2 linked regions of the Lepisosteus oculatus genome follow. The protein of the gene in region 1 interacts with the protein of each later gene in a pairwise test. Links are inferred from orthologs where the notes say so. Each region holds a gene or a part of one and is shown on either strand. Other genes may lie near its edges.

Evidence for each region.
Region 2: the proteins of ift20 (region 1) and nup54 interact in binary tests that used the Homo sapiens proteins (3 or more experiments, as listed by UniProt). The two-hybrid records come from large-scale screens. The link is inferred for Lepisosteus oculatus from reciprocal best matches to the Homo sapiens genes IFT20 and NUP54.

Annotation. Positions count from the first base shown.
Region 1 is NC_090721.1:8,405,930-8,409,682, reverse strand, and holds the start of ift20 (intraflagellar transport protein 20 homolog), read left to right. Parts: upstream 1-1,302; 5' UTR 1,303-1,612; intron 1,613-2,243; exon of another isoform or gene 2,244-2,248; 5' UTR 2,249-2,317; coding exon 2,318-2,444; intron 2,445-3,327; coding exon 3,328-3,413; intron 3,414-3,653; coding exon 3,654-3,753. UniProt on the Homo sapiens protein: Part of intraflagellar transport (IFT) particles involved in ciliary process assembly. May play a role in the trafficking of ciliary membrane proteins from the Golgi complex to the cilium.
Region 2 is NC_090698.1:66,801,000-66,804,752, forward strand, and holds the start of nup54 (nucleoporin p54), read left to right. Parts: upstream 1-1,435; 5' UTR 1,436-2,498; coding exon 2,499-2,538; intron 2,539-3,753. UniProt on the Homo sapiens protein: Component of the nuclear pore complex, a complex required for the trafficking across the nuclear membrane.

The DNA.
Region 1 (3,753 bases):
GAGGGTCAATGCCGGGCTCCAGGTCGTGCAGGAAGAGAGTCGGAAAAACAGGGGGAAGGGGACACTTCCTAAGACACAAGAGTCATTTCCAGAAGCCCGGGTCCTTGCCAACCAAGATCGCTACGTTCTCAGTCGAAAAACCAAGGGCTTAAAACTTACTTCCCTGCGCCGTGTTTGAATGTACCCCCAAACCCCCTGAAAATAGATCTGTATTTTTAATTTGAGGGTCTCCGAATCACAACTGTACAACAGGTTTTTTTTTTCCCCACAGATTAAATGGGGACCTGGGAACTCTCTTTCATTGTTGTCAATAACTAATTCAGAATTAATAACTCGCTTTAGTACGCGTTCGTAGGGAAAATGCGACGTGAAAACTCAGCTCTGCTGATCTGTTACAGTAACAGACGCCGTTACAGCCTGAACTGTGTTTCAATTCCTGCTCTCGGCCGCCCAGCAATCAATTTAAACTTCACGCACAGCTGACTTTTACCGTCGACTTTCATGACGTCGTGATATACAGTAGCTAGCGAAGCTTAATCCGCGCAGGGAAAACGATAAAAGTGGATAAATTCACTCGTGGGCACTCCAGTCACACTCGAGAGCAACTGCAGCGTCCCCACCCACCGTCCCAAACTCGGCTGCCGCTGCCTCACGGGGCTAAATCTTTCATCCAAAACTGCCGCCCACTTCCACCGGGGGACAACCTGTAATCTAATTAAAGTCTTTAATCGCGCCATGAAGCATATCGCAGTTTCCTCGGTCGACGTTAAACACGATGCAGCGTTTCGCGGGTCTCACCTCTCCAATACGCTAAATCGACGTCTCTTTTCAAGTAAACTCTTCAGGCCTTGTTTCTCCGGACAGGTACGTCAAGCTCCTTCTTTCGCTTAAACTGAGACGTCATAGCCTTCGCTTACCACAGTAAACATCACCTCCATGTAAAGGAGGGATTAGGGGGAATTCGGGGTTTTGTAGTCCTTGCAGTTTCCTTTCGGTAATGAGAAAAGCCAGAAAGGAACTACAATTACCACAAAAGCCTGGAGGTCTTGCAACGATACCATTATAGACGAGTTTAAAACACCGAGAACATGACGCTTAAAATTAGAAACATATTGTACTTTCAAACCAAATTACATTGAAATTAAAATTTAATATGTAAATTAACTGCATATTTTGGGAATTACAGATTCCGTTCATACTTAATCTCCCCCTTAGCCGATGCTAAATGGTTCCGTCCTCCAGGCGACCCGACGGAATCAACCATTCGATAAACAAAAGGGAATTTCAAGTATCGGGATACAAAAACAACATTGAAATAACATAATATAAATCAAGTTATGATCGGATGAATTATAACAGTTAGTAAATTAAATCCAAATCATAGCGCTTCTTTCGCTAACATATTCAAGGAATTTTGTTGTTGTTTACGACTAGCCCGCCTCCCACTCCTACGAAAAATATACGGGTCGAGCGCGAGCGCTGCGGAAGTGCCATGTTGGTCGGAATCGGACTGTCTCCCTGGCAGCCGCAGAAACAAGAACCATACGAGGAGTCTGACGTGACACATATTCAGAGTAATTCAGCAGTTTAAAAAAAAAACAACTGAAGTCCGGTGAGTTACATTTTCAGTAAACGTTGTAAAAAGTATGTAAATAGTGTTTAAGTAACTGGCATGAATGAAGTTCATCCGGACGAACTGTGATTGCAATCCGAACTCCGTATGTTTACTTTTCTAACAATTCTTGGATAGGCGTCAATAATGACGTTGTATTTCCTCTTCAAAGAAAAATTTTCCTCATTCCAATTTGAAAGGTGCGTGATATTTTCTTTGGAATACCTGTAAATAAGCACGTTAAATTCTTGGCTATGCAACATTTTCAGTTTCAGAGAAAGACAAGAACTACTTAAAACTGTTAAGGCTTACGTTACACTACGTTTTGCATTTCTCGTCCTCTCGTTATCAGTCCGTCATTTAGGTATGTATTTTCTTAAACCACCTGCAATGTAACCCGAACATTGGTGTCTACATTGTGGATTTGTGTTACCGTTAACAGAGGGACAAAAAAGGAAGGTTTAGTTTCTTTAAGTTTCGTATCGTGCGTTTTCCCTGTTTTGTGTGCAAAGCAGTGATCAGAAACTGCCGTCACGGTGACTGTTTAGAACAAGCTTACACCACATTTGGGGGATGCTTCGCGTAGTCATGCACCCCTTCACACAGGCTTTTTTTTGTTTTGTTTTTTAAGGACAGGCTGCACCGTGCTAAACATGTCTCTATGACGTATTTTCACAAGCCCCTCCCGCGGCCCGCCCACCAATCATGGCGAAGGACTCGCTGGCGGAAGCCGGCCTCCACTTCGACGAGCTCAACAAGCTGCGCGTGCTGGAGCCCGAGGTGGCCCAGAAGACCACCGAGCTGAAGGAGGAATGCCGAGACTTTGTGGAGAGTAAGTGGAGCAGGTGGAGCAGCCGGGGGAGACGGGCAGGAATGCTTAATAATAACAACATCACTTTATTAACCCTTTACAATTTCTTGCATTAGGAATTATCTTTTCGCATACCCCAGCTTGCTCTCCATGAGACACACAGACAGGGAGAGAAGCTGGGGGTCAGAGCGCAGGGTCAGCCATTGTACAGCACCCCTGGAGCGGTTGGGGTTAAGGGCCTTGCTCAAGGGCCCAACGGAGTAGGATTCTTCTGCCGGCTGCGGGATTTGAACCAGCAATCTTCTAGCCACAGGCGCAGATCGTGAGCCACAGAGCCACTGCTCCGCCCAATCCCAGGAATCAAAATGGGCCGGTAGCTTTTGTGTGCCGTTAAATTGTTAATAATCATAATTGGTGGTGGTGGAGGGAGTCCCCATTATCTGTAAAGCACTTTGAGTAGAGTGTCCAGTAAAGCGCTATATAAGTGTAAGCAATTATTATTGTTTTGCGTGCCATTCAATTGTAATTCTAAAGCACCAGTTTTAATGCTCTGCATCTCAAGATGCTGTACAAACCCACATTAAAGGAAGCATTAAAAACAGGATAAAGTGGCAGAAAAATATGACTGTAATTGAAAGATTAAAGTAAATCTTTAGCCAAGTTCGAGGGGCTGTGGTACATGCACATGGAAATTGTTAATGTAGTGTGGAAGTGGAGTAGTTTAAAATGTCTTTGCACTTATCTAATGACAACATTAACATTCATGTATTGGTAGTGCTTTAAATTGACTTGATAATTATACACATTTCTGTACAGAAAACCTTTAAATTTGGTATTGCATATTTAAAAAATAATCCAGGTAAGTTTTATGCAGGAGCCGAGGGTCAGACTGTTTCTTTTTCAGAGATTGGCCAGTTTCAGAAGATTGTTGGAGGGTTGATAGAGCTGGTGGACGAGCTGGCAAAAGAGGCTGAGACAGAGAAAATGAAGGTACGGGTTCAATCATTAATGATTTCACGTCATGAACAAGACGGTAAATTGCAAGACGATCTCTCAGTCACTGTAGCTATCCAATACTGTTGTTTAACACCTGAAATGAATCTTCTCCTATCCTGCTTTTCCCACAGCCTGTAAAACTATCTGAAATGCACCTGCCTTTGCACCTTAGTAAAACAACTCCTCAAAAAAGGTGACCTCCTTGTTGACTGTGTCCTGTGCTGCCCCCTACAGGCAATTGGTGCCAGGAACCTCCTGAAATCAGTGGCCAAGCAGAGGGAGGCCCAACAGCAGCAGCTCCAGGCTCTGATCGCAGAGAAGAAGATGCAGCTGG
Region 2 (3,753 bases), on another chromosome or scaffold:
GTGGGAGGGATGCGAGGGGTCATCTACTATACTGGAGGCCCTGTGTAAGCAGCGTTTGTGATAGGTGACAGAAATGGAAGGGAGGGAGGCTCCAATGATCTGTTCATCTGTTTCCACAATTGTTTGCAGGGTCTTGTGGTCTGAAGCGTTGCAGTTTCCAAACCAGACAGTGACACAGCTGGTCAAGGTGCACTCAGTGGCGCTTCTGTAGAAGGTGGTAAGAATGGGCAGGGGAAAGGTTTGCCCTCCTCAGTCACCGCAGGAAATAAAGATGCTGCTGTTTTTTCTTTCTTGGCTAGGGAGGTGGTATTGAGGGACCAGGTGAGGTCACCTGTAATGTGTACACCTAGAAATGTGGCGCTTCTGTCTCCACAGGGAAGTCATTGATGTGCAGTGGGGAGTGATCAGCGTGGACACTTCTGAAGTCAATGATTATCTCTTGTTTTGTTTAAATTAAGAGATAGGTTGGTGTTTGTGCACCAGTCCACTAGTTGCTCCACCTCCTCTCTGCATGGTGACTCATCATGGTTGCTAATGAGGCCCACCACTGTCGGCAAACTTGATGAAGCAGTTTTGATGAAGCTTGGCAGTATAGTCGTGAGTCATCAGTGTGAACAGCAGTGGGCTGAGCACACAGCCCTGGGGGGTTCTGGTACTCAATCGGATGGTGCTGGAGATGTTATTACCGATCCGGACTGTCTGAAGAAGTGGAAGGATAAGATGTGTTGTAGCTGGCTGATTAAGCATCTTCCTGTTGCCATGCTCATGTTTCTGTCTGAAATACAGTTGTATTTCTACAGCACCTTTCATCTGAAAGAGTTTCATGCAAATGGAGAGACCCGATTCATTAAGCACTGAAGTGCTGCACACGCCTGGGGCGAGCACCCTGCCACACCCCAGATCAGGCAGAGAGGTGAGAAAGTGAATTCAGGGGGAACTGCAGCTCAGGCACACTGTGCAAGCTCAGAGTGGAATTAAGATAAAATAAGATAAAGATCACTTTATTAGCCATATACAATGTATATTCCTTGCACTAGGAATTAGTCTTTTCGCATACCCCAGCTTGCTCTCCATGAGACACGCAGTCAGGGAGAACTTTATATCTGATTTATTTCTTAATTTAAGTCTGAATTCTTTCAAAATACAAATGGAGAAGTAATATCCTACCAAATAAAGGAACTTCTGTGCTTTCAAAAAATATACACTATAATATTAGAACAGCACGTCTTTCTGCCGAGCCCTTAACATCATTTGAACTAACAAATCGTTGCCTTGCGTGGTTTGAACGACAACCTTTAAATTCTGTTCTTAAATTTTGGAGAAGGGTTAAATTACCTTCTCCTCCTATCTTGGAGGAGAAGTAGCGGCTGTTATTTAAAGGGAGCTGCGGCGGCGCCAACTGTCTCTTAAGTGAAAGCGCAGGATGAGGAGCATTTGTTTCAAGGGCACAGAGAATGGCTACCTGGCAGCCTCATAGTTCTGGTAGAGAAAAGCAAAGGGAGTAAAAAGATAACTCGGGTGGGTTTACTGATCACATCTCCCTCACGAAGGCAGATGAAGTGTTCCTCAAGTTGGGTTGTGGGATAATGCGAGGTGCCAGATGCTTTATAGTACGGTCCATCTCTCCGGGGGGCGGAAGCTGTGTCCATATTTCTGACATTAAGGAACAAGTAAAGGTGTATTCCATGCTGAAAAGAGAAGAAAGGAAACAACGTGCTGTGGTGCCTTCTTCGGGTGGGAACGCAGCTACCTGAACTATTTCTGGCATTAAGTTGAGTTTGTTCAGTGTGGCCTTTGGTAGGGTTACCATACGTACGTTTTTTTTCTTGGATATATTCTCCTGTTCAGTTCTTAACCGCCGGTAAATTTAAAATGTCCGGGACTTTTTTCCTTTACTCTTTTCCCCCCAGTGGTTATTTTAAATGGTTCTTGGGACTAAGAAAGTATCATTCGAGATAGAGATTCGGTGTTGAGTTGATTACAGTCGTAGTCTAAATCGTGTCCCCGTCCTGTTTGTTTTCCGTTTTGAACAGGTATGCGATTTAATAGACCCGAGTGCAGATAACCAGAACCGCCCTCTATTCCACGAAAATTATCTTGTCCTTAATGCATCGCCCCACTGTGATTCCCGACGCGCAGAGCCTTAAAATCATCACCTCTGAACCCGAGGTTGTGCTTCTCTCCCAGAACAAAAAAAAAACAAATTCTCTCTTCAGGTGACGGGGGATCAGCAGACTTTACTAGAGAAGTTAGGTCAGACAGAAACTCAGATGTTTGACGTGCTTCGTGGTGACACCAACAATTGCTGCTATGAGAACGACCTCTGTGTAGCTATATGCATGTATGGAGTTCAATAAAGTGTGTTGCCATTTAAACGTGCTGCTCCTGTCTGAGACACGCATATAGCGCAAGGTTCCGCGTACGTAGGAACTCGTTGTTCGAGTAGCCCGGGTTTCTACACGGAGCCTCCATGTAGACGGAACCGGAACACATCGAACATGGCGTTTAACTTTGGAGGCGCTCCCTCTAACACTGCGGGTAAGTGTTGTAAAAATATGTTGTGTTGGTCGTTATGGTTGCAGCCGAAGGTCTCTCCATATGGCTGTCTTATCAGATGGAAGTGAAAAATTAGTTTAAACTGTGTTGAAACTAATGTTTTCTGTCAGTGACGGGTCTCTTGTCTCCGGCCGCGCCGTGTTGCAGGTTGAAAGACATGTTAGGCTGTTTTATAGCCGGTAGGCTGCCTCTGTTACTTTACATTAGTAGTTCCTCATTGCACTTCAGTGGTTCTGATATAGGTTCATTTGGTATTTATAGTGTAGTTTAAAAAGTATGTTAAGGATTGATATAGACTACAGTTTGGGTGTGTATAGTTTTACAGCTTTATATTAGCATGTAATTGATCTTGCATTTGGATATGCTATTGTGTTATTTCATGACAGCTGATATTTCGAGAGTGATCCAGAGAATGAAAAGCAAAGCCTGCCTGAAGTATCCAGAATTTCCACTGGATAATGTACGAGCCCTGTGCTTGATAACTTCTAACATTGCAATACACGTTAAAAATCCTCACATAGGTACCCCGTCTACTAATAATTTCTGCAGGACACACACTCATCATTTGATAAGCAAGCACAATTGATTCCAAAATGTCTTCGTAGGCGAACTCTTGTAAAAGCGACAATAAATTCCCATTTAAAAATCTCCGATTCGTTCTAAGTGCTCAGAACTGGACTTAAACCAGCTGTGTTTAGGTACTTTTCTGATGTTTTTAGATAGTTTGGCACCATAACTCGCTAAGTATACGTTACAGATAGAACTTATCAATTTATCAACAGTTCGTTTTTATGCAAGCTGATATTTTAAATGTATTATGAAGCCGTGATGTGGAGAAATTAAAATTTCAAGGTCTCTGGTACATGAGAACAATATATATGACATTAACATAAAAAAGGATTTTTGTTTAGTAAGACAGTTTGTTCAGTTAATAAATCTTGTGCTGTCAAAGACTTAATCCCTGTATTGTAATTTTAGTATAAAAGTAAGATGGCTCCTCAACCTGTCTGGTCATATCAATATCGTGAATTCATCATAGTGCCCATAATCAAAACATACCATTTGTATAACATTTTGTGAATCAATATTATCTTTACAGATTATGTATTCAAAATATTATCCATCCATCCATCCATCTATCCATTTTCTAAGTGCTTCATCTAATTCGAGCCTATCCTGGCAAGCAACACTGCAAGT